Yarrowia lipolytica: one gene and its partners. The protein of the gene in region 2 interacts with the protein of the main gene of each other region in a pairwise test. Links are inferred from orthologs where the notes say so. Each region holds a gene or a part of one and is shown on either strand. Other genes may lie near its edges. The genes, in order: YALI1_E25826g, YALI1_E34708g and YALI1_B07843g.

The links.
Region 1: the proteins of YALI1_E34708g (region 2) and YALI1_E25826g interact in binary tests that used the Saccharomyces cerevisiae proteins (3 or more experiments, as listed by UniProt). The link is inferred for Yarrowia lipolytica from reciprocal best matches to the Saccharomyces cerevisiae genes VPS45 and PEP7.
Region 3: the proteins of YALI1_E34708g (region 2) and YALI1_B07843g interact in binary tests that used the Saccharomyces cerevisiae proteins (3 or more experiments, as listed by UniProt). The link is inferred for Yarrowia lipolytica from reciprocal best matches to the Saccharomyces cerevisiae genes VPS45 and TLG1.

The regions. Positions count from the first base shown.
Region 1 is NC_090774.1:2,577,827-2,588,616, reverse strand, and holds YALI1_E25826g (uncharacterized protein), read right to left. Parts: upstream 5,981-10,790; coding exon 4,406-5,980; downstream 1-4,405. Other genes in the region: YALI1_E25889g (uncharacterized protein), read left to right, coding at 1-343; YALI1_E25866g (uncharacterized protein), read right to left, coding at 613-2,031; YALI1_E25859g (uncharacterized protein), read left to right, coding at 2,663-4,114; YALI1_E25812g (uncharacterized protein), read left to right, coding at 7,360-9,960; YALI1_E25761g (uncharacterized protein), read right to left, coding at 10,352-10,790. UniProt on the Saccharomyces cerevisiae protein: Required for vacuole segregation and vacuole protein sorting. Possibly part of a complex which tethers the vacuole membrane to microtubules, either directly or via kinesin or dynein-like motor proteins.
Region 2 is NC_090774.1:3,464,136-3,474,654, forward strand, and holds YALI1_E34708g (uncharacterized protein), read right to left. Parts: upstream 6,728-10,519; coding exon 4,988-6,727; downstream 1-4,987. Other genes in the region: YALI1_E34650g (uncharacterized protein), read left to right, coding at 856-3,006; YALI1_E34686g (uncharacterized protein), read right to left, coding at 3,421-4,491; YALI1_E34711g (uncharacterized protein), read left to right, coding at 6,983-8,797; YALI1_E34745g (uncharacterized protein), read right to left, coding at 8,905-10,371. UniProt on the Saccharomyces cerevisiae protein: Essential for vacuolar protein sorting. Function in membrane traffic between the Golgi and the vacuole.
Region 3 is NC_090771.1:780,486-790,103, forward strand, and holds YALI1_B07843g (uncharacterized protein), read right to left. Parts: upstream 3,819-9,618; coding exon 3,159-3,818; downstream 1-3,158. Other genes in the region: YALI1_B07809g (uncharacterized protein), read right to left, coding at 1-485; YALI1_B07852g (uncharacterized protein), read right to left, coding at 4,217-4,723; YALI1_B07853g (uncharacterized protein), read left to right, coding at 4,903-5,277; YALI1_B07864g (uncharacterized protein), read left to right, coding at 5,990-7,375; YALI1_B07915g (uncharacterized protein), read right to left, coding at 7,501-9,618.

The DNA of each region.
Region 1 (10,790 bases), about 890 kb from region 2:
CATCCACTCGGTGCCCAGCATGAATCATGTCCATGTCCATGTTATGACGACAGATCTGTCTTCTCCCCGGCTCAAGAACCGCACACACTTCAACTCGTTCAGGACTGGCTTTTTTGTGCCATTCAGAACGATCCCGGATCTGAAAGTCCCAAGTCTTGACGCCTGGATGGTCTCACAGGAGAAACTCATCAAGGGGGACATTGTGGTGGATGGAGAGAACTTTGGGAACAAGTTTGCAAAGGCCAAGAGAAGACTGGATGAGGATTTCCACAAAGCCACGATTCACGGTATTCCAGAGGAGGTGGAGGATGATGATTATAGGGTGATGGAGATGATCTCTTAAGAGACAAGTGGCCATAGATAACGAAGGACATTCATATGGAAATTGATGACATTATAACGAAAGCATGCTCATGATACAAGTAGCAACCAGGTCGTTTTCTCTCAGTACGATCTCGATGGAGTGTAATAGTTGACAACGTAGCTGAACATGGCAACATCGTGATAAACTCATTATCAGTATACATCATATGCCACAGCTGAAACATAATAGTGCTTTGGCACTACAGGCAAACTACACTCTCACTTGCGATTAAATGCTTAACTAGTCTACTACAACTTCTCGTACTCGAGCTTACCCTCCAGCTTCTTGTTCTCGGACACCTTTCTGCAGGCCTTGAGCAGATCGTTCTGAACAATGTAGTCCCGATCGTCTCGGATGGCAAAGAAGCCAGCCTCGGTGACCACGTTTCGGATATCTGCTCCGTTGAAACCGTCGCTCATCTTGACCAGGGCCTCGTAATCGATTTCGCCCTGCTTCTGAACGCCAGCAGCGTGGATCTTAAACACCTCCAGACGGCCGGCCTCGTTGGGCAGTGGGATCTCGATCTTTCGGTCCAGACGGCCTGCTCGCAGCAGGGCGGGGTCCAGAGTATCGGGCCGGTTGGTGGCCATGATGACCTTGGTCTTTCCGAGATAGTCGAAACCATCCATCTGGTTCAGCAGCTCCATGAGCGTTCGCTGGATTTCTCGGTCGGAGGAGGTTCCCTCGGAAAATCGACGTCCTCCAATGGCGTCCACCTCGTCCATGAAGATGATACAGGGCTCGTGTTCCTTGGCGTATCCGAACATTTCTCGAATCAGACGGGCAGACTCTCCAATGTACTTGTCGACGATAGCTGAGGCGGGCGAGAAGATGAAGTTTGCGCCAATAGTGGCGGCCACGGCCTTGGCCAGCAGGGTCTTTCCTGTTCCGGGAGGGCCGTACAGAAGCACACCCTTGGGAGGCTTGATTCCGACTCGCAAAAACAGCTCGGGGTTCTTCAGAGGCAGCTCAATGACCTCTCTGAGTTCACGGATCTGCTCGTTGAGGCCACCGATACCGGAGAAGGTCAGCTCTCCAGGCTCAAACGTGGTCATGTTGTAGACAAGAGGATCGACCTCTCGGGGAAGAATTCGCATGATAGTCAGAGTGGTCATATCCAGAGACACACGCACACCCTGCAGCAGCTTCTCCTTCTTGATGCTGGACCGACAGCCCACAATGTATCGGGGGCCGTTGGAGGCTTTGACGATGAACCGCTCCTCATCCAGCTGCTTAAGAACCTCGCCAATCAGCTGGCCTACCGACTGTAGCGCCTTGATGTCGTCCTCGGTCTTGTCGAATTTGCGCTCGAGGTCTCTGATGCCCAGTCGCAAGTCCTTGAGCTTGACCTCGTACTCTCGATGCTCCTTGAGTTTTCTCTTGAACGACTCGATCGCCTTTTCCCGCTCGGGATCTGTGGGTGTGGCAGCCACCTCGGGCGCCTCCTGGTTGAGAGCTGCGAGCAGCGGGTCGTTTTCCATGTTGTGTGTGTTGTGGTGTGTTGTACTGATGTAGTAACTGGAGCGTTGAGGTTCTAATATGTGAAGTGGTGATGCACCTCCCAATATTAGTGTTTGGTAGAAGAGTGGCGTATGGTGGCGAGGTGAGTGAAGGTGAGAGTACAGTAATGACAAATATAGACAGAATATCGGGGAATAAATGATCATCAATCGCTTTTATATTCCTCACTTATTGCTCTCAATATCCCCATTACTCCACAACTACTCTAAAACCTCGTATTCTGACACCTTCCACAGGATTACGTGAGGTAACAGAGTCTGGATGGGTATGGGTGGACCCATTCGCTCTTGGTGGTTATGCAACCACAGATCTAGTAGAGGTACCCGTAGTTGATGTGCTGTAATATAGACACAATGACAAATCCATAAATAAAGTGAGAAACCCCATTGAGGAGAAAGAGGTGTACATCTAATTATTGATTACATAAGCGTATAAGTAACTTAACCAAATTGTCACATTACTTCACCCAACAGTTGAACTATCTTTCATTTTACTTCAGAATGACTTTGAATATAGGTCTATCCAACTCTACCAATATAGATCCCACATATAATCTGAAAAGTGCATTCTTCTTGTAATTTCTCAGACAATCTGCTTCCATCATTATCTTATCGATAGGATATCTCCACATCTTGTTACAGACACCGCCATCCCCGTCAAATAAACTCCGATGCAAGCTCCATGTGCAGTGAAATTTATTAGCATTGAAAAGAAGCACATAAAAGATCACATAAAGCACACACCACCACCACTCTGTGCTAAATCTCCTCTGCTACAATGGGAGCCGACTTCAAAGTGTTCATTCTGTGCGGCCAGGGCAAAAACATGGCACCTCTCTCGTCCGTGAGAGCGTCTGGAGTGCCCAAGGCCCTTCTTCCCATGGCCAACGTGCCTGTGATCGACTACACCCTCAAATGGTGTGAGACCATCCCCAACCCCAAGGTGTTTGTGTGCTGTTCTACAGCTGACGAGGCGGAGATTTCCGCCTACGTGGACTCTTTCAAGGCTGAGCACTCCACCTCAGTTGTGGCTTCCAACGTGACTATCTGTTCCAAGACCGATGCGAAGTCTGGAGACTTCATTCTGGAGCTGACTCGAGGGGAACCCTCTGATTTCATTGTGGTTTGCTGCGATTTTATCACAGACATTCCCGCCAGCTCGCTGGTCGACACCTACCGAAGCCGAGACTCGGACTCGCTTCTCACAGCCTTCTACTACCCCAATACCCTGGAGAACGTGGACAAGAAGTCATTGCTCAAGGACGTGACGGTGCACTCATCGCTGGACTCGCGAACCCCGCGGCTGCTGGACTCGTATTCGCGTGACTACATTGAGAACAAGAAGACCATGCCCATCCGCCGATCCATGCTGTGGCACTTCCCTAAGTCTTTGGTCTCCACACAGCTGCTCAATGCGTCCGTCTACTTCTGCACTGCCGACGTGTGTAGAGTCATCACCGAGACTCAGGCTGCCCCTGAGGAGGATTCCACAGACGAAGATCCCGACACCCGATCTTCGTCGCCTGTCAGACAAGAACAGGAGGAGGCACACACCATTCTGGCCAAAGGCCGACAGTGGGACCGAGTGGTTCGAGACATTGCCCGACGGTCGTGGGCACATGCGAAGCCGCTCAAGTCTGTGTCTCTGTGCGTTCTGGACTCCAATACCTTTGCACGAGCAAACAACCTGTCTGCATACATGGAAATGAACCGAGTGATTCTGAAGGCAAGAGCCAAGGCCAACGCCACTGCCCAGAAGCCCGCTCCAGCTGTTAAGGGAGCTGCCACTGTTGGTGTCGACTCTCTGGTCGGCGAAGAGACCCAGCTGGGCGAGCGAACCAGTATAAAGCGATCTGTGGTTGGAAACAACTGCACCATCGGCAAACGATGTCGAATCAACGGCTGTGTCATCTTTGACGGCGCTTTCATTGCCGATGACGTTACTCTGGAGAACTGTCTGGTCGGAACTAAGACCACAGTCGGTACCAAGGCCAAACTCACAGGCTGCAATGTTGAAGGAGGATACAAGGTGGAGGCTGGCAAGGTGGCCAAGAACGAAACCATGCTACAGCTGTCCTTGGAGGGTTTGATGGAGTCCGACGAATACACTGACGACCATGACGAAGATGACGATGATGACGATGACAGCGAAATGGGCGACTCGGACGATTGGTCCGTCAGCGGAGGAGACGACTACGATGATGATGATGGGCTCTTCGATCGGTCTTAGAAGGACAAGTATAGCTAATGTATGTTGGATAGAGTATGGAGTAATTACAGACTTGATCTAGAATCACAGAACATTTTCACGTTCTGAAATGTTCCGCACTCGTATGTGATGTTCAAGTATAGTTGTATCTTGTACAATTATCTACAGTCACCGAATCCGCCACAAGTAATATACATAATTGTCATCATTCATTATTCATTACTGTTCTGATACATACAGTATCATGCCATAGGGTCGCTAGCACTTTCTATGAGTACAAATATTCCTTCGTGGTGCTGCTCTAAACTGAGATTAAACAAATGCTTCATCTCCTAGCCTCTTCCTCAGAATTTCAATCTCTTTATCGAGATCCTTCACAGACATCTCTAAAGGCCCCAGTTCGTCGTACTTTCGCCTCTGCTTGGCCTCCAGCATCATGTTCTCCACCATAAACCTCTGTTCCTCCATGACCACCAGCTGTTGCTGAAGTGCCTTGTAGTTGGCAGGAGGACGGGGTTTAGCTGGCTCGGGGGCTGTAGCTTCACTACCCAGCACCTTGGGAAGCGTTTTCAAGGGCAGCATCTTCTCTTGTAGAAATGACACCGCAGCTGTGTATATCTGTTGCTGTATTCGCTCTTCTGTAGGAGACAGTCCCTCCAGTGCTCCTACTCTTCTAGCAGCCGAATCTAGCTGCGAAAAGGTATCGAGAAGACGCTTACGCAGCTTGGACGCTGCCAAAATGTCCTTGGGATGCATACCGGCCATCTTTTTGGACGCAATCGTCTCCTCAAGCTCCTTTTGGAACCGAGGCATCATGTTTTCGATGGAAGTGGTCAGATGGGTCATGGTGTTGTACAGCTTAAGCAGCTCGCTGGGATCGGAGTTGACATCCCGCTGAAAGTTACGTCTACCAAAGACTGTATTCTTGCAAGTCATGCAGATCCGTATGGGTTCGCAATCTGTTGGAATGGTGTCGCTGAACTCCTCTTTCATATCGAGACTGTTGATTAAAATGTTCACACCAACAGGAAGAGAACATTGTGTGGATGTCTGTCCACACACCACCTTTCCGCACACCCTGCAATGATGAGGGCGGATCAGAAAGGTGAATTTGACCTGGCATTCCGGACAATTGGGCTGTGTTGAGTCTTCCTGCCATGGTACTGAGGCTGTGACAGCCGCCTTGGGTTTCCACCAGGGTCCCGAGCTCTCGTTCTCTATGCTTTCCTCCGCAAGTCGTCTCAGTCTGTTTTCCAGCTTATTGACGGACAGCTCCTGGATGTCGATTTTCGCCTGGCGTTTTTTCTTGAACTCTTGCGTCAGATCTCTTTCAGTACCTGTCGTGTCATTGTACCCTTCTCTGCCCGTGTAGCAAGTCTTGCACACCCAACACCAGATACCGCCCTTTGGTTGGTGGTGAGCATCTCGGCTCAACTTCATTCTGTAGCGACTGTGGCCGTGGCAGAAGATGTTTCCACAATGTCGGCAGTGCCTTGAGCCGTTCCTGGCTCCCAGCTTGCGTTTGCAGTCCGGATAGTGGCATGTTTGGCCCGGTCCGGGGTGCTTCCAGTGCCGTCTGGTCACCATTTCGTCGGTGGGTCGCGGTTTCGTGTGTGGTTTCTCGCTGGACGCCCGTGTCTTGCCCTTTACCTTGCCATCACCGTGTACGTCGTCAATGTGCCGATTCAGTTGCATCAGCGTCAACATTGTCTCCTCGCAAATCGGACATGTCAGCGAAGTGGCTGAGTGTGATTCGGGGCCTGGGGACGCCGTGGAGACGACCGGCGGGGTCGGCGGGGGTGGCGGAGTGGGAGCGGCGCTTGTTTGCACCACCTTGGGCTCCTTCACCGGCTCCACCTTGGTTCCGATCACTCGTTTTTTGCGCATGCTGAAATAGAGTGTACTTGTGGGTGGTGCGTGATAAGCTGAGTAATATGGCGGGGTTGCATGTGAGGGTCGGCAGGTTAGGGAGTTGTTGAAAAGGTAGGGCAGGTTTTGAGGTTTAGTGATTACGTGGAGTGCGGATATGTGTTTTGATTTTGTATATCTAGTCTACTGGTGGAGTTGTGACCGATGCTGTGGTGTAGACGGCTAACAAACTTGGGTAAGCATTGCACCTAATTTAGTTGAAAGAAAGTCAAGGATAGCGTTTATTTACTGTAGCAACAAGGTGAAACTGGAGTTGCGGAAAGATAGGGCTTCCGAAGAAAAGAAAGAAGGGATTTGATATGGAGAAGTCTTTAATCACCTTTCATTTGACAGATCTACACCTGCACAGTGGTACAAGTATACTGTACGGATACCCCAACGATGACTCTCTACATCCCCCCCCCATCTCAGTCGATTCCAGTAGTACACTCGTATGTACTGCACACCAAAACAGTAAATATTGTTGCCTCTAACTCTGACAGTACTACAAGTACCGTACGGTACTTAACACTGGTACTGTATACAGTAAATGTACTCAACCTCGTCCAGTAGCACTTGTATGTCGTTAGTTGGTGGGTCGTTATCCCCTCAAGATCGAATTCAAACGCTCTGGGGTGATTTAAACCCGATTTAAACCGTCTCGGCCTGATCTGAAACATGCGATGGGATGCAGTTCGGGCATAAGTGGTTGTGTGTGACCACTCTGAAGACCACTCTGAAACCATTTCTGGTTTCTAGAGTCGTAAACAACAGAGACAGAGATACGATTCTGTATAGTACGGCTCTCAAAACACGTCTATAAGCCACTAGTTGGCTAGTTTCCGCTGACGTGTGACAGGACAGATAGAACAAGAACGAGTACATACGAATATACGGCTGTTTTTGGTTCTTGCACCATCTTTCTGATTATTACAGGATATGCAATAAAAAGTGATGGTACAACCCGGCTCGGTAACCACAGCCTCATACTGTAGAGCCTCATATCTGTTATACACAGTCTTTCATACAAGCTCTCTTTTATGAATCACCCTTGTCAGTCAGCTATGGGTGTAGGGCGCATGAGGAGTAGTAGCTCAGATGGGTGACAGTTAATGCACAAGTTGTAGAGCAGAAAAACCCCTGGCAACGACGTAAATACCACCTGAAAGAAATAAAACGAGTTTTCCATGTCGAATATTCACCCGGGAACCACCCTCTTATATACACACTCTCCCCACACCCTTCAGAACAACCACACCACTGTGACCCCCACATGCATGAAAGCACGCATCTTTTGCTAAATTCAAAGCTGTACACAAGCCATACTAACGACCATCTAACGACCCGTCAACAGCACAATGATCACGGTCACGCCCGGGGAGTTGGCAACCATCGACGACGCTCTCACCGACCTGCTGCTGGAGCGCGTATTCTACTGGGCCGAGGTCCGCAAGGCCTCCGTGCACTACAAGCCGTTACGCGGCATTTCAGATCGTCATATCCACGACCTGGTGCGCTCCATTGCCGCCTGCGAGACCGGAGCTGCGGCTAATCTGGCGGTGAAGAAGGCCACCAACGCGTTTCTGGAGCTCAAGGAGGTCAGAGGATACCGAGGACGGCTTAGTCCACTGGCTTACGAAGAGTTCCAAAGACACACAGTTCGATACCTGACCATCTACAAGGCGTCGTGCGGGTTTGAAATCAACGTGTCCATGCGTTACAAGTGCCGCTCCAACCGAGGAGAGTCCTGTGTCATCTCCAGAGTCAGATACAACCGGGGAGACGAGATTGTCGGTCTGTCTGGTTGTCTGGCCAAGATGACCAAGGACGAAGAGCTGGCCCTTGCCAACGACTTTTCTGTGCTCCACTCCTCACGAAGAGGCGGAAACTGTCTCATGCTAGGCCCTGCTCGATTTGTCAACCACGACTGTAGTGCCAACGCTCGGTTTGTTCCTGTTCCTTCAGGCATGGTGATCCAGGCTGTCAAGCCCATCAATGTGGGCGACGAAATCACTGTCAAATACGCAGAAAATTATTTCGGACGCAGAAACAAGGAGTGTCTGTGCCAGACATGCGAGGAGAACTCCAGAGGCCTGTATGGAAGCCCACAGGAGTCTAGTGAGGAGGAGAGCGACGACGACATGGATGAGCTAACAAAAATTGAACTGCAACGGAGAAAGAAACGGCAAGAGCAGAGAGAGGGAGGGACCCCCGAACTCAGAGAGGGAGGTCGAGGCTCGTCAGAATCATCTAGAGAAACTTCGGAAGAAGCTATTGAGATCTCCACCAGCAAGAACTGGCCATTGATCCCTAAAATCGAGTCTCACACAGCAGATAGTACCCCTCTCCCTGTACCTGTTGGAGAAGTGTCTGAAGCCACTGTCACTGAGGTGTCCACTGTTGTTCCTGCTCAAGAGGCTATTCCTGTTAATGAATCAACAACAGCTTTGTCGCAGTCGTCAAATGAGTTTCAGGACCCAACGATCGACCCCATTTTGAATGGGGCCAGTGCTGAAATCAGGTTCCCGTCTCTACCCAGCCCAGATACCACCACATCACCCGAATCACAAGTTCCGCCGTTCATTCAACCAAAAAGTGCCCGACGAAACCACCACTATCTTGGCATGCACAACACGGACGAACGAGTGCGGTTCAACGACCGACTGTCGGTTCTAGACGAGAGAGGCGGAAGTGAGGATATGGAGAGCTGCCTGGTGAGCGGCAGTGAGTCGCGAGACGATAGCACTGCTATGTCGCGAGATGAGGAGTCTTCTCGTGACGACGGTGACGGTTCTCGTTCCAAACGGTCCAAACGACATGTACGGGCTCAGCGCAAGAACTCAGGATCATGGTCTTTCAGCCAGGAAGATCTCAGCTTTGACAGACTGTGCAAGGCTGCTCGGGAACAGGCCTATGATCCTTCCAGGTATGCTCTGACGGGGGTGTATGGCTTCTCCGTTTCTGGGGCAACGCAGACGTGCGTGTCTTGTTGTTCAGTCTACAATCTCACTGACGGGCCCAAGACACTTGGCCACTTTTGTCCTCGGTGCCACAGACATGCTGCTATCCACAGCTTTGCCTGGCCGTATACTAACCATAAGCATGCCCTTCCCCTGTGTCTGCTAATGATGCGGCCTCCAAAGAAGCTTGAGGACGAGGACTGGGGTCTCTCCAAGCCACAGGTGGCTCAGCAGTTTGGTGCCAAAAATCGTAAGATTTTCGAGGAGGACGGTTTGTTGGTGCAGAAGAAGCGCAAGTCGCTGGCCTGGTCGTGGGAGTACACCAAAGAGGAGCCTGCCCAGGAAATCACCAGTATGCGCATTGAGGACATGAGTCCGAAGGAGCTGAAGAAGTGGAGTCAGGCCGGTCGACAGACACGGTCTGGACGGGTTTCTATGCTGCCGGAGAAACCCAAGCGGTCGAGAAAGTCGGCTCCTGAGCCTGTTGAGATGCGGGACAATGTGGCTCAGCTTTCACGAGAGGAACGAGCTTGGAAGAGAGCTCGAAGGGGAACCGTGGGACATGAGAAAGTGGAAGTAAATACTCCGACAGTAGAAACTCCGTCAACAGGCACCCCGAAGGTGAAGAAGCTACATTGGAAGCAAAAGCTGGCAATGGAGAGGAGACAGAAGGAGGCGGAGGAGGCTGAGGTGGCTGAAACCAGAGTTGCGGACGGTGTTGATGCATCTACTCCTAGTCCTGCTGGGTCCACGCCGACTCCTAGAGGAAGAGGTAGACCCCGAAAGTCTTCTCGGGAAGAAGAAATCCCTCCCGAGAAGACACCTGAGGCGAAGAGACCGAGTCCAGCAGCAACTAAGACTCCATCGATGTCTCCAAAAGTGAAGAAGGAGCCTCTCAGTATGTCGTTTTCAATGTCTCCAACGAGCCGGTCAGGACGGGTTCGAAACCCCACGGAAAAAGCATTGCAGTTGATGGAACAGGGAGAGTATGTGATTTGAAGAGGAGAAAAGGGGAATTACTAATGGTCGGATGGGTTGGATATGTATTTGTACTGTAAATTTATTATGAGTTATGGCTATTTGGCATACAAGTACAAGTATGGTGATCTTGTTTAGGTGGTGTAAAACTTGTGCGTCTGAAAGTTTAAAAAATAAATACTAGTACATACTTGTACTTACTACTTGTAGTAGAGAGACTCAACAAAACTCAGTAACATTGATTGTAGTTTTGAGTGTCTCTTATGAGAAGTACAAGGAGTACTCAAAAATGAATTTCTGTCATACTGTATACTCAAATATTTGCACATGTACAAGTACAAGTACGTTTCTCACACACTCTCTCTTTATACAAGCTTATTATATACGTTAGCGTTCCTCTATCTATCAATGCTCAAACTTGAGACTCGGCCAGAAGAGCCTCTCCATCTTCTCGAGTGGACCGGTTGTTGGTCTGCTGCTGGTTGGGAGACACATCGGGGAAGTCCCACAGTTTGTAGTAGTCCACCGCATGGCCTCCAATGGCTCCTCCACCCTTACCAGCTTCAAACACTGCCAGGAGGTCAAACTTGCCATTAGGGAACCAGAAGTCGAAGCAGTTAGTTCCGGCGCCCGAGTCGGTGGGGTTCTTCTCCTTCCACGACCGATTGTCCCGATGCTTGATGGCTTCACCTGCAGTAGCCACAAACTGATCGACTCCAAGCAGTTTGAGCACCGAGGAAAAGCAGGGCGACTTTGCAGCGTGTCCATGGGCGTTCATAACGGACTTGGCTGATGCTGTGGCGGCAGAGTGGTCTAGAGGGACCGACGAGTAGTCATCAGCACCCATGTAG
Region 2 (10,519 bases):
AAGATTGACCCTATAGCAGTCTGGGGTACGAGACTTATGACATTCATGGAATGTGGAGAAATGCCAAGACGCTGGGACACGGCAATCTGCGACATTGCCCGTGGAGAGACGACGAGCTTACTCGCAGCTGAATAACAGTGCGTTATCTGGTGGCGAGGGTTGCCAGTTGTGCGCGTTACCGTCGTTTTCTATATTGTCAAAACGAAAAAGAGATATGCGAATGGTTATGGTTTTTTCTACAGACCAATGATAATTCCTAATGAAAGACGTCACATCTTGTGTTTTCTTAATGAAGTGTATTAGACAGGGGCTAACGGATCTAAAAATGGTGAGAAATTTAAACTTGCAAGTGTTTGCGAGACCAGACCAGCTAGTCGGACTGTTTACTTGTCTGTCTCCCCGCAAACAAAAATACATCCAGGTCTTTCTTCATGATTAATTAGGGCCATTTATGAGTAACTTGTGCTTTCTCTGTTTGACCAATCTAAAGTTCAATACGTTGGTAGCTAAAATAGAGTTTCAGTGCTGCGCTACATTAAGCTTCCAGCGTGGCGTAAAAAGGACACGGACTCATCTCCATCTTGTTCTCTTACTCCTCGACACCACTATCGCCTCCAGGACATTGAATCCCCGAGACCAACCTATCATTGTAGCTAGAAAAAACTGTATTAAGAGAGCAGACGTTTTAACAACGCCTCCCAACCAGCAACTAGCCAAACCCCCCTTCTCGAGTCCTTTCGAAAGAATTTTTCTCTTTTTAGACGACTCAGCAACACTCAAGTCTTGGACAGAGTAAAGCACCAACCTCAACATTTCGTCATCACCAGCACCGTATCTCTTTCCTGATACGATACGATGGGCCAGTCCCCTTCCAAAAATGCAAACTCGACCTCCTCTCTGACAACTACTAACGGCCAGGCCTCTGGGGCCGGTCTAGGCGTCATATCCGACGAGGGAGGCGACGACCCCAGTAGTAGTGGGTGTAGTGGCACGAGCGCCCACAACAAGACACCTCACCACCAAAAGAGCTCATCATCCTCAACTCGACCCCCGACTGGACGAAGCCGCTCGTCCAAGTCCTCGACTGGAGGCTCTCGCAAGGAGCGAACCTCCATGTCCTTTGATCACGACTTTTCCATCGACAACGCTTCTGCAGCCGACTTCATGAGCAAACCCAAGCGAAGAGTATCGTCAGGGGCTTCGAAGTCCGCCAAGACTGATATGCGACATGACCCCACAGGTTCCGAGCGTAAGTCTCGCAGAGACAAGGCAGAGGAAGCAGGGCTCGTAGCAGCCATGGGCGAGGTGGTCATTTCCCGACCTCATGACTCGCAGTCATCGTCGGACACGGATAACGCCTCACTTGCCTCCACCAATTCTGAGGGCTCGACTTCGTCACTCACCGCACCAGTTGCTCCCATTCAAAACTCAAACTCTGAACCTGGCACAGCCCCCGGAGCACATACCGAACCCATTTCGATACCAGGTAATAATGACTCCTTAGCGCACTCGAAGTTCCTTTCTGCCAAAAGAACTCCCGCCACCACCCTCCCCCCTCCAGGCTCGTCGGGCCCTGTCGCCACTCCTGTCATTGCTGTTTCTCACCACGACAACAACGGATCACTCACCTCGAATGTAACCTCCGAGGGATCTCTTTCCGCCATTTCTATTGCGTCTTCCTCGGCCACCTCGAACGCATCCCCCGAGAACGCTGACAAGTCCAAAATGAGCCCCCAGTCTTCTCAGTCTTCCTCCTCTTCCGAAGAGGATCTTTCCGATCTCTCCGGCCTCAAGTCTCCCATTCCCACCACCCACATTGGCTCCTCTCGAGCTAACGCCGTGGCTCTGTCCTCCAAGCCCTCTGCTTCAACCCCCCAGCGTGTCGACCTTCCTGCTGGCTACCAGTCGTCATTGAGTGTGTCTGTTGATAGTGTCACCGGATCCCCCGCACGAAACATCAAGAACCCTAAAATTGAGCCTGCTGTGTCGGGAGCTTCGGTTGCGTCCACAGCCTCCAGCAAGAAGGCTACCAAGAAACAGCCTTTGCCCTTTGATGTCAACGATTTCATCAAGCGACTTCTCGATGCTGGAGGAAAATCTGGAGGAGCTGCCCCCGTGCCCCTGCGACCAAACGAGATTGTCCAGCTCTGTGCTGCGGCTCGAACCGTGTTCATGAGCCAGCCTGTTCTGCTGGAGCTCGGTACACCCGTCAAGGTTGTCGGAGATATCCATGGTCAGTTTGGAGACCTTATTCGAATCTTTCAAATGTCTGGTTTCCCTCCAAAGACCAACTACCTATTCCTTGGTGACTACGTTGATCGAGGACGACAGTCTCTGGAGACCATCCTTCTGCTCTTCTGCTTCAAGGTCAAATACCCCGAGAACTTCTTCATGCTGCGAGGTAACCATGAGTGTGCCTCCATCACCAAGGTTTATGGTTTCTACGACGAATGCAAGCGTCGAGCTACGACCAAGATTTGGAAGTCGTTTGTCGATACGTTCAACACGCTTCCTATTGCGGCTACTATCGGCGGCAAGATATTTTGTGTTCATGGTGGTCTGTCTCCTTACCTCAACTCCATGGACGACATCCGAAAGATCACTCGACCCACCAACGTCCCTGATGTTGGTCTCTTGTCTGATCTCTTGTGGTCTGACCCTGAGAGGTCTATCATGGAGTGGAGCGAGAACGACCGCGGTGTGTCGTATTGCTTTGGACGATCTGTTGTCAACAAATTCTGCACAAAGTTCAAATTTGATTTAGTGTGCCGAGCTCACATGGTTGTGCAGGACGGATACGAGTTCTTCAACAAGCGAAAGCTTGTCACCGTGTTCTCCGCTCCCAACTATTGTGGAGAGTTCGACAACTGGGGAGCTGTCATGTGCGTGTCCAAGCAGCTCCTTTGTTCTTTTGAGCTACTGAAGCCCATGGACTCCGCCTCTATCAAGGATGCCGTACGAAGGGGCATCAAAAAGACTCAAAAGGTCAAGCTTGGTGAGTCTTAGGTTCCTCTGTTTGTTACTGCGAGAACCTAGAGTTAATTGAGAAATTCAAAGTGGCACGCTCGAGTCCAGTTTAGTCCAGACACAGCCCGCCCTATTTCTGTCATACATTCCATAGAAAGTAAAAAATGTTCATGTGATATCCTCCGTGAGGTTTCACTGGCGGTTTAGGATTAGTACTTGTAGTGACGTGAAATAGTTTAGAAATGGGACACGAGAATGACCTACAGTATATATGGTTGTCCTATATAGTAGCTACTCGTACTCGTACTTGAACAAGTTTACACTAGAGGCACTGTTAAAAGCACATCAGGTAAAAGAATTGAGAGTTATATGGTTAGCTACATTGATAAAACATGGGGTGCACCTATGGGTGTGATAACGTGTCGTGTGATAAGCCATCTGATATAGATCAAGTTAGTCCATGTACTTCATTGAGCCACCAACAAGGTTGAAATACTCGGCAGTTCGACCACAAACGGGTTTCTGGCCCATATCAACGTAAACAACTCGTCCACCGCTGCTGGGGTCGTTGGCGTTGGGGCAGGCAAAGAAGCCAGAGTTCGAATTGTACCACAGGGCGATTTGCTTGTTGGTATTCCCAGAGTAAGACCAAGTGTCTTGTCCAGTAGGAGCACCGGCAACAACAAGTAGCTGACCGTTGGGGGCAACCTTGATGTGGGAAGGTCGCGTGTCACCGCCCACATTCGCCATCATATTTGACGGACTGTTGAGATTGATGGTGAAGTGCTCGCCGTACTTCTTGTTTCCGACCTGGATCTGGGTGGACACAACCTTGAGCTGCTGGTTGTGCAGCTTGTCACCAGGCTTGGAAACAGTCACCATGAAGGGGCCAGTGTTATGGTTATACTGGGACTGCGGGAGCTTTCGGGAGCTATCCTGTCGGTTGTCCTGTCGGTTGTCCTGTCGGTTGTCCTGTCGGTTGTTCTGTCGGTTGTCCTGTCGGTTGTCCTGATGGTTGTACCGGAAACGGTTGTCTCGGTTATCAGCATCTCGGTTATCCTGATGTCTGTTGTCTCGGTTATCCTGGAACTTGTTGTCCTTGTGGTTATCCTGGAAACGGTTGTCATCGTTGTCCTGGTGGCGATTGTCCTGATGACGGTTGTCTCGGTTGTCCTGGAATCTGTTATCCCGATGGTGGTCCTGGAACTTATTGTCAGTCTGACGGTTGTCAGAGGGGTTTCGGTTGTTCTGGTACCGGTTGTCCTGATCTCGATTGTCAGATCGGTTGTCAGAGTACTGGCCACCCCGTCGGTTGTCCTGGTGTCGGTTGTCAGTCTTTCGGTTGTCCTCGGGCTGGTAGATAACCTGGTTATTGATATACTGGTAGTAAGTATCATCAAGAGTCTCCTCACTGGCGGCAGTAACCTCATCTGTGGGGATGGTGGCAGCCACGGCAAGGGTGGTGGCCTTAGATGCTGCGCCAACAGAGACAAGAGTGGTGAGAATGATTCCAGAAAGCTGCATAGTCAAAAGTGAGAGAGTAGATGTTTTGTCTGAGAGTGAGTCATTGCCAAAGGGGCCTATATATACATGCTTATCGTCAGAGGTTTATCGTCAGAGAGAGTGTTCGTTTTCCAAAGGTGGTAGCGATGGTACCCTGGACTTGCCACAAGAGGTATCAATGTTTCACCAGTGTTCCAAAAGCGACAGCTCGAGAGGTGGTTGAAATTGCTCTCATTCAGTTTTTGGTATCGCTGGCTGGAATCAGTTATGTTGCCCCTGACATGTTGTTCGTATATATCTGGCAGTTCAAATATAGAAAGTGTAGAAGGAAACAATGCACTGTTGACGTGCAGGGGGTTAGTCTACGCAGCAACTACGACAACCTTTATTGTCGGCTTTTATGTCCGCATGAGGTAGCTTGTACAACTCATCTCCAATCTGCTATGTAACCTCACCAATTTTGACCCAGGCACTCAATGCCTAAAGTGCACCATCATCAATCATAAAATAATATAAATTATATCAGCTGCCTAAGTCGGGTTTCGGGGTCTGCGCCACGCAAGAGTCCTCTGTGGTTCTGGTCCAAACACTCCTGAATAAACTCGCCAGAGTTGACAATGGAAGTGCCCCCAAGAACAATACGGACAGACGACTGGGAATTAATTTCGGCAATAAGACGAGCCTCCTCATACGTGACTCCGCCGACAATGAAAACCACTACCTCCTGCACGTCATCCTCATAGACTCCATTATTGGAAACTGGGCCCCGGCCTGCTCCCCGTACATAGGGGTGTGTAGCCTCACGCAGCTTGTTCTTGACAAGATTGGTCAAGGTTTTCTCTAACAAGGGCCGATGTTGAGTGTACACGTTCTGAATACCCTTAAGACCCATGATGTTTCCCTTGGCCTTGGCGATGAAACCTTCTTCAAAGAGAGCCTCTTGTCTCTGGGCGAGGCATGCGAAATTAATGACTGCCTGAGCCGCCTGCACTGCGTCTTGTCCCTCATACTGTCCTAGCATCTCACACAGGAGCTTGAGAGAGTTGTTGTCCTTTTGCTCGTATCGCAGACCGTAAAGAGCAACCAGGCGCACTTTGTTCTCCATGGAGATGGAGGGCGCTGCGATTATTTGCTGAATCTGTTTGAGAGAGTCATTGTGGGAGTCGGAGCACACAAGGGTTTGTTCCAATTCGGAGACGTCCAGATGCTGGCCTTTCTCGACAATTCGAGAGAGCTCTCCCACAAGAGTAACGTGTTTGGAAACGTTACCTGAGAGTCGTCGGAACTCGGGGTACTCCTCCACAAATCGCTTCATGTCGGCGATACTTTCAATGTCCATGTTTGATTGTGTCTTAGACTGATAGTGCGACACATAATCCTTGATGGATTGGCCCAGGTCTCCGAAGTTATGGTACATGTTGTCAGCGAAGAAAGGATCATCATTTTGAGAAAGAACAATTTCTTTGAGCTCGTCTCGAATCTCAGGCGTGTTACGGAGATCCACTCGGTTGTTATCGATACCGATGAATTCGTGGACCATGGCTTGGTAACTCCAGGGCGTCAATAGAGGCGTGAGGGGATCGTTCTTTCTGTCCAGAATAAGCAGGACGGGCGCCGAGTCCCTGGGAGTTTTGAAGTTGAACAGGTTCTCTTCCTGCTTGATGCCGTAGGCCAGTTCTTCGGCAAGTTTTCGAGCCATATTGGAATTGGCGTCGTATCGGATCTGAGGTCGCAGTTTGAGACCCAGCAGCACAGCCTGCAATGACTCTGTGCATCTGTTGAGACATTCGGGGTTCCACCCTCCGTCGGAGTAGATGGAGAGCGAGTTTCTGGTGAGAGAAAAGTTGAAGAGATCCTTGTTAACGGCCAGGAAGTCAGCAAAGCTCTCCTGCACCTTTTTGACCACCTCATAGTCGTCACTTTCAGCCAGTCGTTCCAGCTGCGACTTTTTGACCACGTTGGAGAAGTAGAGCTCGTAAGAGGCATATCGAGGGTTCCGCAGCTCTTCACACAGCTTGGCAATGGAGTCGTTGCTGGGCCGGATAAACACAATGCACGCCAAATGTCGTTGTTTCTCTCGATTGGGGTTGTCGATTCGGTCTATCAGGTAGACTTCATTTTGAAGTAGAGACGATTGGGTTGTGCACATGGAAACTATAGGGGTAGTTTCCCCGTCTAGCAGCAACACCTTGAGCTTGCCAGACTTGTCCCCGACCATTGTGGTAATGTATTCCTTACCAGTTTCCGTGACGTTCATTTTCTGTCGGTTGCTCGTTCACCGTCTGGAAAGAGATACTATCTAGCAGGTGTGATAGCGGTGGCCTTATGCAGGTCAGACATGGTGGATTAGGGTAGGTGGTGTCAGTCTACGAAGTCGGAGCCAACGCAGATAAAGAGCGAAGCCATTTGAAGTGGGGACTGGAATGGCATATATAGGACATAAAAACATGACTGAATAGAAGGCAAGGGTAAAACTATGGGATGTAGATATAAATATATACATAATAGTTAGATGAGCCCGATTACTCAAATTGCAGTTTTCTTTCCAGGCGTTGCAACGAGTGCCTACAGTATATCTGGTTCTGCTTACGTGAGCCTCATGTACTCCATGATGCGCGGCATCGAAAAGCCTCGACAACCCCACGATAAAGTCGCAACAGCAAAAACCAGGCCCATGGTAGTCAAAAAACAACACGTGGCATCGAGCAAGCATCGAACTGCCTCGGCCCGCAACCTCACCAAAATGCGCGGCTCTTCCACCCATCTCTCGGGGCTCCAAAAGGAGGGGAGCGGCGATAGTCTCACTAAGCGCAAGGCTCGATCGTCAGACTCGCTTCAACGGCTAGCACGACCAAATCTCAGCATGACCCGAACCAACTCCGGCAACAGCAATAAGCAGGATACCTCCGCCAGTAGCGACAAGCTCAATCACAACGAGACATCTCCCAAGCCTGCCTCATCAAAAGAGGCCAACGACAAGGAGAACGAGGAGCAACAGAAGTCCAAGGAGCAGGACAAACCCGTGCATTTGCGGCAGGGCGGCAAGGTCGTCATCGGACTTCCTGTGAGCGACGATGAGGGCTCTGAGGAAGAGGACGAGGAGGAGGTTGACGAGGATAACGGGGATAACGGAGTTGCAGCCAATGGGTTAACAAGAGACATTTCCCGTTTGGCTATCGGAACAGAGATCAATGAACAGGAGCAGGCCGACGCAAACCAGCAGAATGGGGTCTACGCAAACGACATACCCGGAGAGGTGGCTGACACGGAGTCGAAGACCATGGCTGAAGGAGAGGAGGCCGTGGTGGCCATGCAGGAAAAGATGGCAGGAGAGCCAGAGGTTCGCAGGACCAGCAACAACATCCACAAGGAGAAACATGTACTGATCGACGAGAATGGAGGACATGTGGAGCACCATGAGCATGCCCAGCCTGGATCTGCTGATTCTCCCGTGAGCCCCAAGAGCGCGCCTGGCATCACCAACAAGAGACTTGGTAAGTCTGTCGAGAAAGATGGCCCCAGAGACCCCGAAAGTAGCCAGGAGAATATCTGCGAGGTGTACGACGAGTCAGAGTTCCCCGACTCCCCTGAGCTCAAGAATGTCAGTGACTCCTGTAATCCCTCGAGGGCAAATTCCAGAAACCCTTCTCGAAATCCTTCAAGGAACCCATCGTTCGAGGGACTGGGTCTGCTTAGGAGCCTTGGACCTCTCTCTAACAACAAAATGACCCCTGCATCTAGAAACTCGTCCTATGACTCGCTTAGGTTAAGTCAGCAGGCCACCGAGAAGGCTCCTACTCTCGAGCTCTCTAGCCACCACGTGCTGAGTAATCCTGACGGCTCATCGGGTCACACCCTGGGAAGTAATACCGTGGTCACTAGCGAATCGCCACAGAAAACCCCCAACTCCACTCCTCGCAAAGAACAGCGAAGTCGAACACAGCAGAAGCTGTGGCTTCAGAGAGAGAACGCTATCGACGAGCACGGATCTCCACGATTACCTGCTACTGAGATGCCGGATCAACTGGCCAATGGCAAGGCTGAGTACCAGGTTATCGATAAGCAGTACAAGAGCGTGAGAACCTTTTACAATCCAATTCTGGAGGGTCTTCAACGACATGAAATTTGCCGGTGGTACGAGAATGGAAAAGTGGTGAATCCCAAGCGGAGAGAGGTGCAACAACGTCAGCTGCAGAAGGACCTCCAGGCCCCTACAGGAGATGTCAATGAGATTCTGGCAACCCTCTTCAAGGGAGTTAAAAGTGAGAGTCAAGGTCTGGCAAATCAGGCCCAAAGGGCTACACTTGCTATGAAGAATGGCGAGTAATTTCACTGTGCGTATAACTTGTATTGTACTTAGTATCTTATATATTATTTATAGCCCAAAAACGTCCTGTATTCTAATTGTACTTAGTAGCTACTTCACTATGTTTATCACATAGGAGCAGACAGTGGTGAAGCTTGTACCCCGGGGTGACCATTCAAGGAGTATAAATTGACATGGCTAGACTTTGCTGAGGCTGGTGTTGAGGATATGCTGCTTCTTTCCACCAATGTCTTGTATCGTTGTTGTTCTACGATCTGTTTTTCAAGATCCTTTTCGGGCGACAAGATGACGCTTCTCAGGCTTTCTGTTCGTGTGATTTCTCCTCGAGGGTCCTGGGCAGAGTATGCAGGCACGAAATCCCCCACAAACCGTCCCGTGTCAGCCTTCATTTTATCTAGCTTGGCCATGTAGTCTCTGTTGTTGTGCTTGGTGATCTCTACTGGAACAGTCAAAGACATTGTTCCAACCTCGAACTCCAAATCAAAGCGCACGAGATATTGACGCGAAATGAGAGCTGAATAGAATGAAGGGATAATGGTTTTTGATGCTGATACTGGAATCTCGAGAACAGCCGAACAGTAGGGGTAATCCGAGTCAGACGAGTCAGAGTCATTCCAATCAATCTTCAGATCCACCATACTTCTTTGAATGATCTCTTCTATCCTTTGCACATCAGAGTAACGCTTCACCAGTAAGTCTGAGGGGATAAACTGCATTCCTGACAGAGAACAGTAAGTAATACCTTCGACAGTGGCCCAAGCCTTTTTGAGAACCTGAGGCTTGTCTGACAAGACATGAACAAGGTACAGAGTAGGTGCTCCTCCAGCCACGATACTCGGTGTTGTGTTGATACCCATCTTCACATACGTCATTGGCTTCTTTTTCAAGAACCCTCCTCCAAACTTGCGCTCTGCAATAAATGTCGAAGGTTGTGGTTCCAAGAAGAACTTTGTGTTGAGAGAATGTACGGCAGCTGGGTATGCGGGGATGACCTTAATATAGAGATAGAATCGCATGGTGATTTCAGCCATGATCTGAAACCTCACCTCATATTGAATACCACCAACCTTTCCCGGGATATCTTCTCCTTGAGTCTCTTCGAACATGGAGTTGCTTCCTATACTCGGTGGTAGTCGTTTAGTCAGAGCTATGCCGTTGTCCAGAGCCTCCGAAATTTCTCCAGGTATATGAAACTCGAACTTGTATCTGTATTTTTGTCCTATTCGGAACTCCCCCGGATCGGTCGGTGGCAACGCAGGAACTATTTCTCCATTAGCTGTGTCTAAGCATTCTTCATCCATGCGTAATTCCTCCTTGACAAACACATAAGTGGCCTTTTGACGTTGTGCAGCCCGCCGATGAATAGTCCACTGTGTTCCGGTAAAAAAAAGTCGCAGCTGATCGAAAGCAATGTGCCGATAATTCGGTTCCACAAGGATGTGGCCTTTGACATGATCCCCTAGGTCGTAGACATCCTTAGCACAGTCCGGGTCCACCACAATGTCCACAATGTTTTTGGCCGTCTCCTTGACGGAGATGGGCTTCAGAGAAGTACTTCCCCGGGTTGTGTGCATTGATTTCGCTGCTAGATTTGATGGTCAAGTCGTCTTTTATTGTCGCGTGGTGTGATCTGATGTTGAGTAATGATAGACATGCGTATAGGGTGCATGCTTCCCCACACTCCAGTTGCTAATGTGCCTTTGGGTTCGTTGGAAGATGAAA
Region 3 (9,618 bases), on a different chromosome or scaffold from region 2:
GTGAACTTGAAGGGGTGCACCTGAGCGGTGGAGTCGGTGCCACCCAGATGTGACCACGAGTCGATAACTTCGGGCCGGATCCAGTCCAGGTCCTCAGGCAAGTCCACGTCGGGGCCCTTCTCCGATGAGTGTGTGGGGGCTCTGCCAGCCACTTTTCTACCCAGGGGGGCGGGGCCGGTCTTCATAAGATTGCCCTCCACCGAAACCGTGCTGACCCGTCTGTACCCCCATTCCACCGCTCCGTTGTACTTGTCTGCCAATTTTTCGTGTAGGGCGAAGGACATGGGCACAATCTGGGACGGGAAGGCCCACAGAGCCAGCAGTCCGCCGGCCTTTCCGGAGGCGCCTCCAGCCGCTCGTACCGCCTCGATGATGGTGATGTGGTGTTTCTTTGGGTCGAACTTGGGGTGGTTCAGCAGATAGTATGCCGTGCACACACCGATGATGCCGGCGCCCACAATGACAATTTCTTCTTTTTCAGACATTGCCGGACAAGAGTGAAGTGGCTGTGGGTATGTGTGTTTCCTGGTGTGGAGTGGTGTGTGTGTGGGTGAGTGTGAATGTGGTGTGTGTGTGTGTGTGTGAGGGTGAGTGAGTGTGTAGTATGTGGATGTGTGTTTTTCTACAAAGTGACTTTTGTCTTTTTCCCTGTCGATTGTGTATAATTGGTCCAGCGTCGTGGCGCACTGGGTCGAAAGACGTGCTGTTGGGTGTGAGGAAGAAGGCACGCAAGCTGTCGCCCTAGCTAATATATCGCGATGACGTCGTATGACCTGGTGGGGTTGGGGTGCTGCGTTTGACCGTTCAATGCTATTTATCACAGTATAATGTGTCGTTATGTCGGCTCCTGTGCATAGGGTCGCGCAGAATTTTTAGGCCTGTGCGAAATAAGATGTTCTCTAGTAGTCAAAGGGCTGGGAGTAAAGAAAGAGAGAGAGACCACGTTGAGGAGGCTACGAGGATATATATGGGGGGGGGGAGTCAGTGCGGGTGGAGGCTTCGACGTTGATCTTGTGTCCAGAGCTTCGGATCTCCAGGTTTGTTTCGGGGTTTTGTGTCTATTTTTTTATTTTATTTTTGGTTTTGCAGTCCGTGGATGCGCCCCCGAAGAGACCTGTATGGTAATATATCGCAGTACATGAAAATGCTTACAAACGGCCAATTAAATTTCCAGCCAGGCATAAAACGTGCACTGGGAGGTGGAAATGGGGTGACTATTGTTTAAATATGAGGGTAAGGAAATACCTTGAAATGCCCAAAAGGTCCTTTTGGGATGTTTAGCTTGGAGGGGAAGGTGGGCGGAGGAGGGTACGATAGGCAACCTCAGGGAATAAGTTTGGCGAGATCCACACTCGCCACACCATGTATCATAGCAGAGACCGGCTTGCAAATAGCCACCCCGCTCGTCAGGCTCCGTCAGGCTCCTACCGTATGCATCGTACACTTGTGGCTTCCGATAGCTTAAGAAGACCGTGTACCAGGACGGAAATGGCAACCATCGAGGCATGCGAGGCATGCGATTGTGTGTATTCCGGCCTAGCGCGCTGCACAACAGGCTCTTATCTCGTGGTCTCGTCAATCGCGGAGTTGCCATTTAGGTGGCACGGCTATTCTTTCCGCTGCCGCCGGGGTTGTCAATCTCCGTTGATGTGATTTTGAGCGGACCCCTGCGATACCGGCGCTCCTGTGCAAATCGCCTGAGACCAACACATTAATTAGTCAGATTATCGTGTGAGGCGAGTGAGACATCACCACACAAGCGCGTTATGTGACACCACAATGGCCTGCTTGTTTCTCATCGTCATCTGTCAGGGGTGCCTGAGTCACTTAACTTATCTCCATATCCCTACCGGCGGCGGTATCAGGGTCCTTGTACAGTGCATACGTCAGCTATGATTGTCCCCTGTTGGTACAATCCAGTAGCTAGTCTCTCCCTCCAAAACCGTCTGCGGTTCCTCTTGTTGTTTCGCTAAGCTACCTTTTAGCCCCTCTATTGTAATGCTGCGGATCCACCCGACGAAATTACGTCCCCCAACTTGCACTGGTCGCATAAGGTTGCGCAATCCCCCCCCAAACCGTTGCGGCCGCAGCCAGGTACCGCCTCCTGCTCGTGCTGGTACAATGTCACCCATATTAGCTGTATGCCCTTGTTAAGGGGATACGGTCGCCGAAACTTGCTTTCTTTTTCATGTGGTGTGTGTGTCGCATTAGGTTGACTGAAGCAATCGGAAGACTATTTTTTGGCACCAATGGGGGCTTGTCAAGTGCCGACTGGGGGGAGGGAGGGGGGGGCAACGACTGACTCAGGGACACAAGCACATTGTGTGCTCGATTTACGTCCACCGGGTCTCAAAAACAAGTACCAGCTTAGCCCCTACAGGGCTTGACCCGGTTTGTGTTTTTTGTTTCTTTTTCCCGGTTTTTCGAGCCGCTCAAAGACGCATGCGGAACTCACATACCAGGAACTGCTTAGAAATACATACCCAGCTGCAGCGGTTCTATAGTAACTTACCCGGTTTGCAATCCGCTTACTGTACTGTACGAGTAGGAGTGATCCTCCGATGTATCCCACCACCAAGACACGGTCCGATCGACTTGGGACGGAGCTCGGCGCATCCATGCTCCGTGATGCAAGAGAGACGAGTCAAATGCCCAGAATAATTCGGAAAATCGAAAAAATATTGAGAATTTGAAAGAAAATTGAAAATTGAAAAAAAATTGAAAAAAATTGAAAAAAATTGAAAAAACAGGAAAAGGCAGCAACAACAAACAATTATTATCACAGTCAATCAATCTCCTGTATGTCTATATGAGTAAGGGGGAACCTCAATATTATGGCTAAATGTGGTTTATACCCACACAACGTGCAGAAGCACATAGAGGGGAGGAATAAATAGGAGAAATGGAGACGGAAACACGGACAGTGGTTCCGAAAGGGAATTGAAGTGGAAATATAATAGCTCGTCGTAGCCGTTTCTCCTCACGACACTGACTCTGCGAGTTGTGCCCCAAGCTCCAATGCGAGTGTTCTTTCATAAACCCTCCCCCCAGAGTGGATATCTTCGGGAGGAGAAGAACCACTAAACTGATGTGCGTGGTACCCTTACTTAGTTCAATCGTAAATCGTTATCTGTTAAGCTATTGACGTTACAACGCCCTTACAGAGCAATGAGCAGAACAAGCAGAATGATTAGGGCCACAATCAACAGAGTGATGCAGCATGAACCCAGAGTCTCTTGGTTCTTTCGCACCACCCAATCCACTTTCTTAAGACCACGCTGTAACCGAGAGCCAGCCGAGTCGGCGTGACGATCTAGGTCATCAATGAGATACGACTGGTCCTCCAGCTCCCGCGACATGACGTTGGCCTGTTCCCGCAACGAGTTCACCGTGTTGTAGACGCCATCAAGAGCGTTGTCCTGCTCCTCGATCTGGCTTGCATACATCTGCTGGGTGAGCCCTGCAGTTCGGGCCTCCGTGTCGTCTGGCTCATCGGAGTAGATGCCATGTGGCGTGCCTGTGTTCCGAATCTTGCTCACCTCCTTCTGTACCTGACCCAGCTGCGACATGAGTTGAGCAACCTGCTTGCTACGGTCCTGGATATCTTCGCTGCTGAGACCAAACTGCTGTGGTCGGCCCTGGGCGGCCTCGACGGACTGTGAAAGGTCGGATATCGTCTCTGCCAGCTCCTCTGTGATGTTTGTGAGATCCTGAAGGGTATTGTGGTTTGAAGGGTCCGACCGGAACTGCTCCAGCAGGTCTCGCGTCTGCGTCAGCTGGTTTTGCGCATCCGCGCAGACTTGTACAAAAGGATCCATTGTGTTTGTGCGAGAAAAGTTGTTGTGGAGTATGATACTGGTGCTACCTCATGCCACGGCTGCAATAATGGGAATATCCGCAGCCAACCTTAATTTGTTGGGGGAGACTGAGACCTTCACATGTAGAGATTATGTACAAGTACGAGTACGAGTACAAGTATGGGCTAATGGTAGAGACAGAGATGATCTGGTGTACTTACTCAATGCACCTTCACCTCCTTATAGATCAAATTGAAGCTGCAACACCATTTTAGTCCATTATATAATCACGTTCCACGTCACTCGCTCCGTCTCCGAAAAGTAATTGGGGAGTCCAGCGCTTAGATGCCGCCCGAAAACGCGTGTGTAAGATGTACTTAGCAATGGGAAATATCAACATCTCAAAAGTCTTAAATTAGTTAGGACAGTTCCTTTCGTTGCTGGGCAGCAAAGTCACGGAGACACTGGTAGACAAGAGTATGGTCTTCAACCTGAGGGAGACCACTGACAGTGACAACAGCGACGGGGCCCTCGATTCCGTTGACGCGAATGGGGAATCCTCCTCCGTGAGCAGCATACTCAGTGTCACTGACTCCGTAGGCCTCCTGCAGAGTTCGGCCCTTCTGTCTCATGTTGCATCCCAGAAAGAAACTGCTTCGACCGAATCGAATAACAGCGTTTCGCTTTCGGGACACCCAGTGCTGGTTATCAATGTTGGTTCCCAGTCCGGAAGCGGCCCGGAACCAGGTGAGACCGGTGACGGTGGTAATATCGATCAGAATGCACTTGCCTGCCTTCTTGGCGCGTTCTCGGATCTGGGAGCCCAGCTCGAACGCGTAGTCGGCGTTGAAGCCCATGAGAATGCATTCGCCTTCCTGCTCGTCAATTTTTTCCAGCGGAAGATCAAAGGGGAGTGGTGTGGCCATTTAGGGGAGTGAAGTGAAGGGGAGTGGAGAAGGTGCTTTCGGATTAATTAGTTCGAGCCGAATAACGTGTGGGGGATAGAGTTTGGGATTAAGGTTCGTTATTAAGACAGTGCGCTGACATCGCCAGAATCAAAAAGACGACTCCACAATCCCTTCCCGCATCGAATACAGACAAGAAAATGGCTGATACACCCATGACTGACGCCTTTCCTGCAGCTGCGGCTCCGGAGACTGCTGTGGCCAAGACAGAGCCTGGTCCCGAGCCTGCCATCCCTGCTGCTTCCGTGTCTGAAATATCATCTACACACACTCCCTCAGCGGTGGCTACCCCACCAACTTCCACATCCACACCCGCGGCGGAGCCAATCAAGCAGGAGACGGCTTCCACTGCCTCGCTCCCAAACCCTGCCGAAAACTACGGCGCTCCTACGCGACTGTGGCTCAATAAGGAGGTGAGTCCCGCCCTGCTGGCTGGCATGCGACAGATTGCCAAGGACAAGCCTGAGGACCCCGTCCGGGCTCTGGGGGAGTTCCTCATCAACTACAAGAAGTGATTGCATTGCATAGGAGGGTATCGAGACAGTGCACCATCGCGTGTAAGGTGCATTGGCCATGGATTGGTAGAATGAAGGGCGCGAATGGTAACTACGAGGCTTGTTTCTGCCATCATGTAAATTATAATGATATTGGTATTTGTTTTGTTTGAAGAGTATAGATTGGCAAATGTCAGTGATCTGAGAAAGACACATTAGTAAGAGTACTACTTGTAGTGCTTGTACGATTTGTACTTGTAAGCTGGTTATGCTGGTTATATGGGATGATGATACGACAAACCGCTAATGTCATCACGTGACTTCAAACTGACCTGATGTATTTGTACTTGTATTATACAAATATCCTCCAATAGAGGTATATTTAACGTATTATTCCCTCGTTCTTCCTTGAAAGTCTCCATTTTTTATTTTTATTTTATTTTTATTTTTATTTTTATATACCTCGCGGCCTTGATCATCATATCTGCTTATATAAGCAAACAGCGAGTTGTAAGAAAAAAAGTATTAAAAGAAGACCCAGACCCCAAAATCCGGGCCACAAACCAGCCCCGCCATCACCAACCCACTTGCTACAAGTGCTGGTACTCGAGCTGTCCCAGCAACCTCCAGCACAGGGATTCTGGCCCAACTCTGTTGTCCCATTTAAACTAAAATTGTGCATATGGCAAGCTGAGATTAATCGTACTATTCTATCGCTATCATCACCACCACCATGGCGACCGACAACACATTACGGCCCTATTACAACGCCGATACGTTTGGAACAGGCACGCTGTACACCAAGCGACAGTTCCCCAACTTCTCCGACGCACCTGGCGGAGCCACTACCTCTGGGTCCTACACACATTTTGAAGGTGGCAACAGCAGCCGACTGACCCGCAATGTGGGCAACCACAACTTCGGCGATCTGTTTGATGGCATTGAGATTGACTACGACATTACCGGAACGTCCGAGTCGGTTCGAAATGCCATGCATTCGCTGTTCCAGCTCTACGGCAAGACCTTTCTGAGTCAGCCCTGGGAGGTCAGCAAGCTACTGCTGCAGGTAGGAGACTGGAGTCATTTGCAACGAGTGGAGAGCGCGGCCGAGGTCGAGGACCACATTATTGAAGTGGCTCTTGAGGAGGAAGAGGAGCGAGAGGAGGACGAAGAGATTGACTATTTCGAAAGCAACCATAGAGAAACGCTGGGAGACTTGAGTCCTCGAACCCACAGCCGAAATCATAGTCACGGAGGCGACTCCCCTATTGTACTGGATTCAGACCCTCTACCTGACCAGAAGAAGCGACTCAAGAAGTTCCTCAAGAACTACCATAGCCAGCTACAGGCCCGAACTACACGCAACTGGGACATTCTGCTGGCTCTCAACGAGGTTGACGGAGTTCGGGGACCATGGAGAGCTCTCAACGCCTCCTTCCTGCTTGGAGCTCTTACAATGACTCTGGAGGCATGGTTTTCTGGATTCTTCAGCTCCATTTCTAACTCTCCGGACCCTCTGTTTCTGGAAGAGGTCGCTCACTCCCCTACTCCCATCACCTCTATCGTTGTAGCCGTCAGCGCTTCAGTGATCACCTCTCTCCTTGTGGCTCCTCTCGATCTCATCCGAACACGTCTGATTGTGTCTACACTCTCCACCAAGCCCCGTTCCGTGCGACAGTCGCTCGTGGAGCTCAAGTCGCTTCTGTGCCCTCCCGAGCTGCTGGTGCCCACTTTCCTCGGCTCTTTCTGTACATCTATTGTGCGACACACTCTACCTCTTTGGAAAATCACCAAGCTGGGCATTGACTCGTACCACTTCCCCGTGCTTGACAGACTGTTCAACCTGGCCAGCGCGTACGTGACCATGATCGTCAAGCTGCCATTGGAGACTATGTTGCGACGAGCACAAGTGAACCACCTGGATCTGCCCTCTGGTGCCATGATTGTCAAGCCCGTTGTCCAGACCTCCACTGTGGCTGTCTGGTGGCACCTGCTGTCTGGCCAGATGCCCCTGGAGGATCTTTACAGAGGATGGAGAGTGTCTGCTCTCGGAGTGCTGGGAGAGTGGGGTGTTGCAAGCTTCAGAAGTGTGAACAAGGCTGGACGGGAAAAGTTTTAGTCCAGATGATACAGCAGCGGCTTTGCATTTTATGTACATATATATATTTCAATCGAGTACTAATTTTGGATCAGATATGATATGATACTAGTATTGATCTACTGTACGTCATTTACATAGAATTTCTAGGCATTATGCGCATCATGGAACATGCTAACACTTCGACCCTTACCTCCAACACTACCCATGCCCCGCTTCATGACCATGATAGGGTTCTCCTTATCTTCATCGTCAAGATCAGGCTTCAACAAAGTGGCAGACTCACGAATGACGTTGCCTGCAAGAGACAGATTTCGTTTCGACGATGTGGGCTGGCCCTGGGAGTTGAGCTGTCCACTGTTGAGAATGGACATGGTGGCAGAGCCCAAAATGGACTTGCTTCGGTCCACCAGAGAGTCCAGAGTCTTGTCGTTGAGACTCTTGACACGGTTTTCCAGAGACTTGAGAGACTCCAGTCTGATCCGAAGACACTCATTGGCACCGTCGTTGGCATTGGTGAGCTCACTCTTGCGGGCCTGGAGTTCAGACACTGTCTCAGTAAGTTCTATGTGCTCCTTCTTGGCCTCAGTCAACTTGGACGTGATGTCAATGAGCTCCTCCTTGACAACAGTGAGCTTCTCAGTAACTTCCTTCAGCTCCTTCTTAGAAGCAGCGAGGTCAGACTCGAGCTTCAACCCAGAAACTGTAGACTCCCACGACTCCTTGATGTTTACGCTGGCATCGGAAACAGTCTGCTCTAGAACAGACGTGGCCTCGGCCAACTTCTTCTCCAGGTCACCAACAGTACTTTCGGATGCATGCAGCTGGTCCCCCAAGCTGGTGGCGACAGCGGTGAGGGAACTGAAACCATCTCTAAGAGCTTGCGTCTCCTCAGCGTGAGTCTTTTTGATCTCAGAAACCTCGGCAGTGTGCTCCTCCTTCAAAGACTTGAAGGCAGCGAGAGCCTCAGTGTGCTCTTGCTTAACACCAGCAAGATGTTTTTCAAAGCCCTCCTTAGACGCAACAAGACTTTTGGCGTGCTCCTCCTTCAGGGACAAAACCATACCCTCGTGTTTGGTTTTCAGTAAGGCCATAGCAGTAACATGCTTCTCCTCCAGTGAAGACACCTTGCCGTCATAATCCTTTGTTACTGAGGCAACGGTCTGCTTGTGCTCCTCCTTAAGATCAGAAACAGCCTTCTTGTGTTGCTCATGGGCTGTAGAAAGAGCTTTCTTGTTTTCCTCTTGTGCGGCAGAGGTGGTCTGCTTGTGATCATCAGCAAGGGAGGCAAGAGTCTGCGTATGTTCAGCCATGACAGAAGCCATTTCCTTGCCGTGCTTCTCCTTGATCGCCACCAGCTCCTTGGCATGCTCCTCCTTAGCAGCACCCATCTCCTTGGCATGTTTCTCCTCGGCAGCTGCAGTCCCCTTTGCATACTCTTCCTTAAGAACAGCATTCTCTCTGGCTTGGGCTTCTTTCAGTTGTGTGAGCTCTTCCGCATGCTCTGCCTTCATTAAAGACATCTCCTTCTTGTGTTCTTCCTTCAGAGATTCGATCGTAGCCAGGTGAATAGTGGCCTCTTTTTGTGCACTCTCAAGCTCCTTCTCATGTCGGTCTTTCACTTCAGTGAGAACGTCAGAATGACACTGTTTGACCTCCGCAATCCGCTCAAGGTATTCGGCTTCAATCTTCTTCATGTTATCATCTCGGAAGTTTGTGATACCAGTGATGGCAGTCTTATGCTCCTCTCGCCACTGTGCCAGCTGGTCCTTGTAGTTTGTTTCAGCACCCTCAAGGCGGATCTTGAACTCTTCCACAGCGGTGGCATGGGCATCCTTCAGAGCACAAAGCTCCTTCAGATGACTCTCTTTGAGCGATTCGGCAAAATTGGAGTGAGTCTCCTTCAGAGACGCCATTTCCTTGGCATGTACCTCCTTGAGAGCTTGCATTTCCTTGACGTGGTCAGCCTTAATAACACTCACAGCTTGCTCAATATCCACCTTATTCTGATCCTCTCCACCACGAGCCAGCTCAATGGTAGACATGTTCTTCTTGAGGCTCTCTATGGTGTCACTGTTGGATCTGATCAAGTCCTTGTGTCGTGCCTCAAGGGTATCCAGACGATCAGAATGCTCCTTTTTGAGTGACGAAACCATACTGACATGTTCAGACTTGAGTGAGGACAACATATCAGCATGCTCAGCTTTAAGAGTGTCAACATGTCCACTGTGGTCCTTCTTCAACGAAGCGACAAGTTCTAGGTA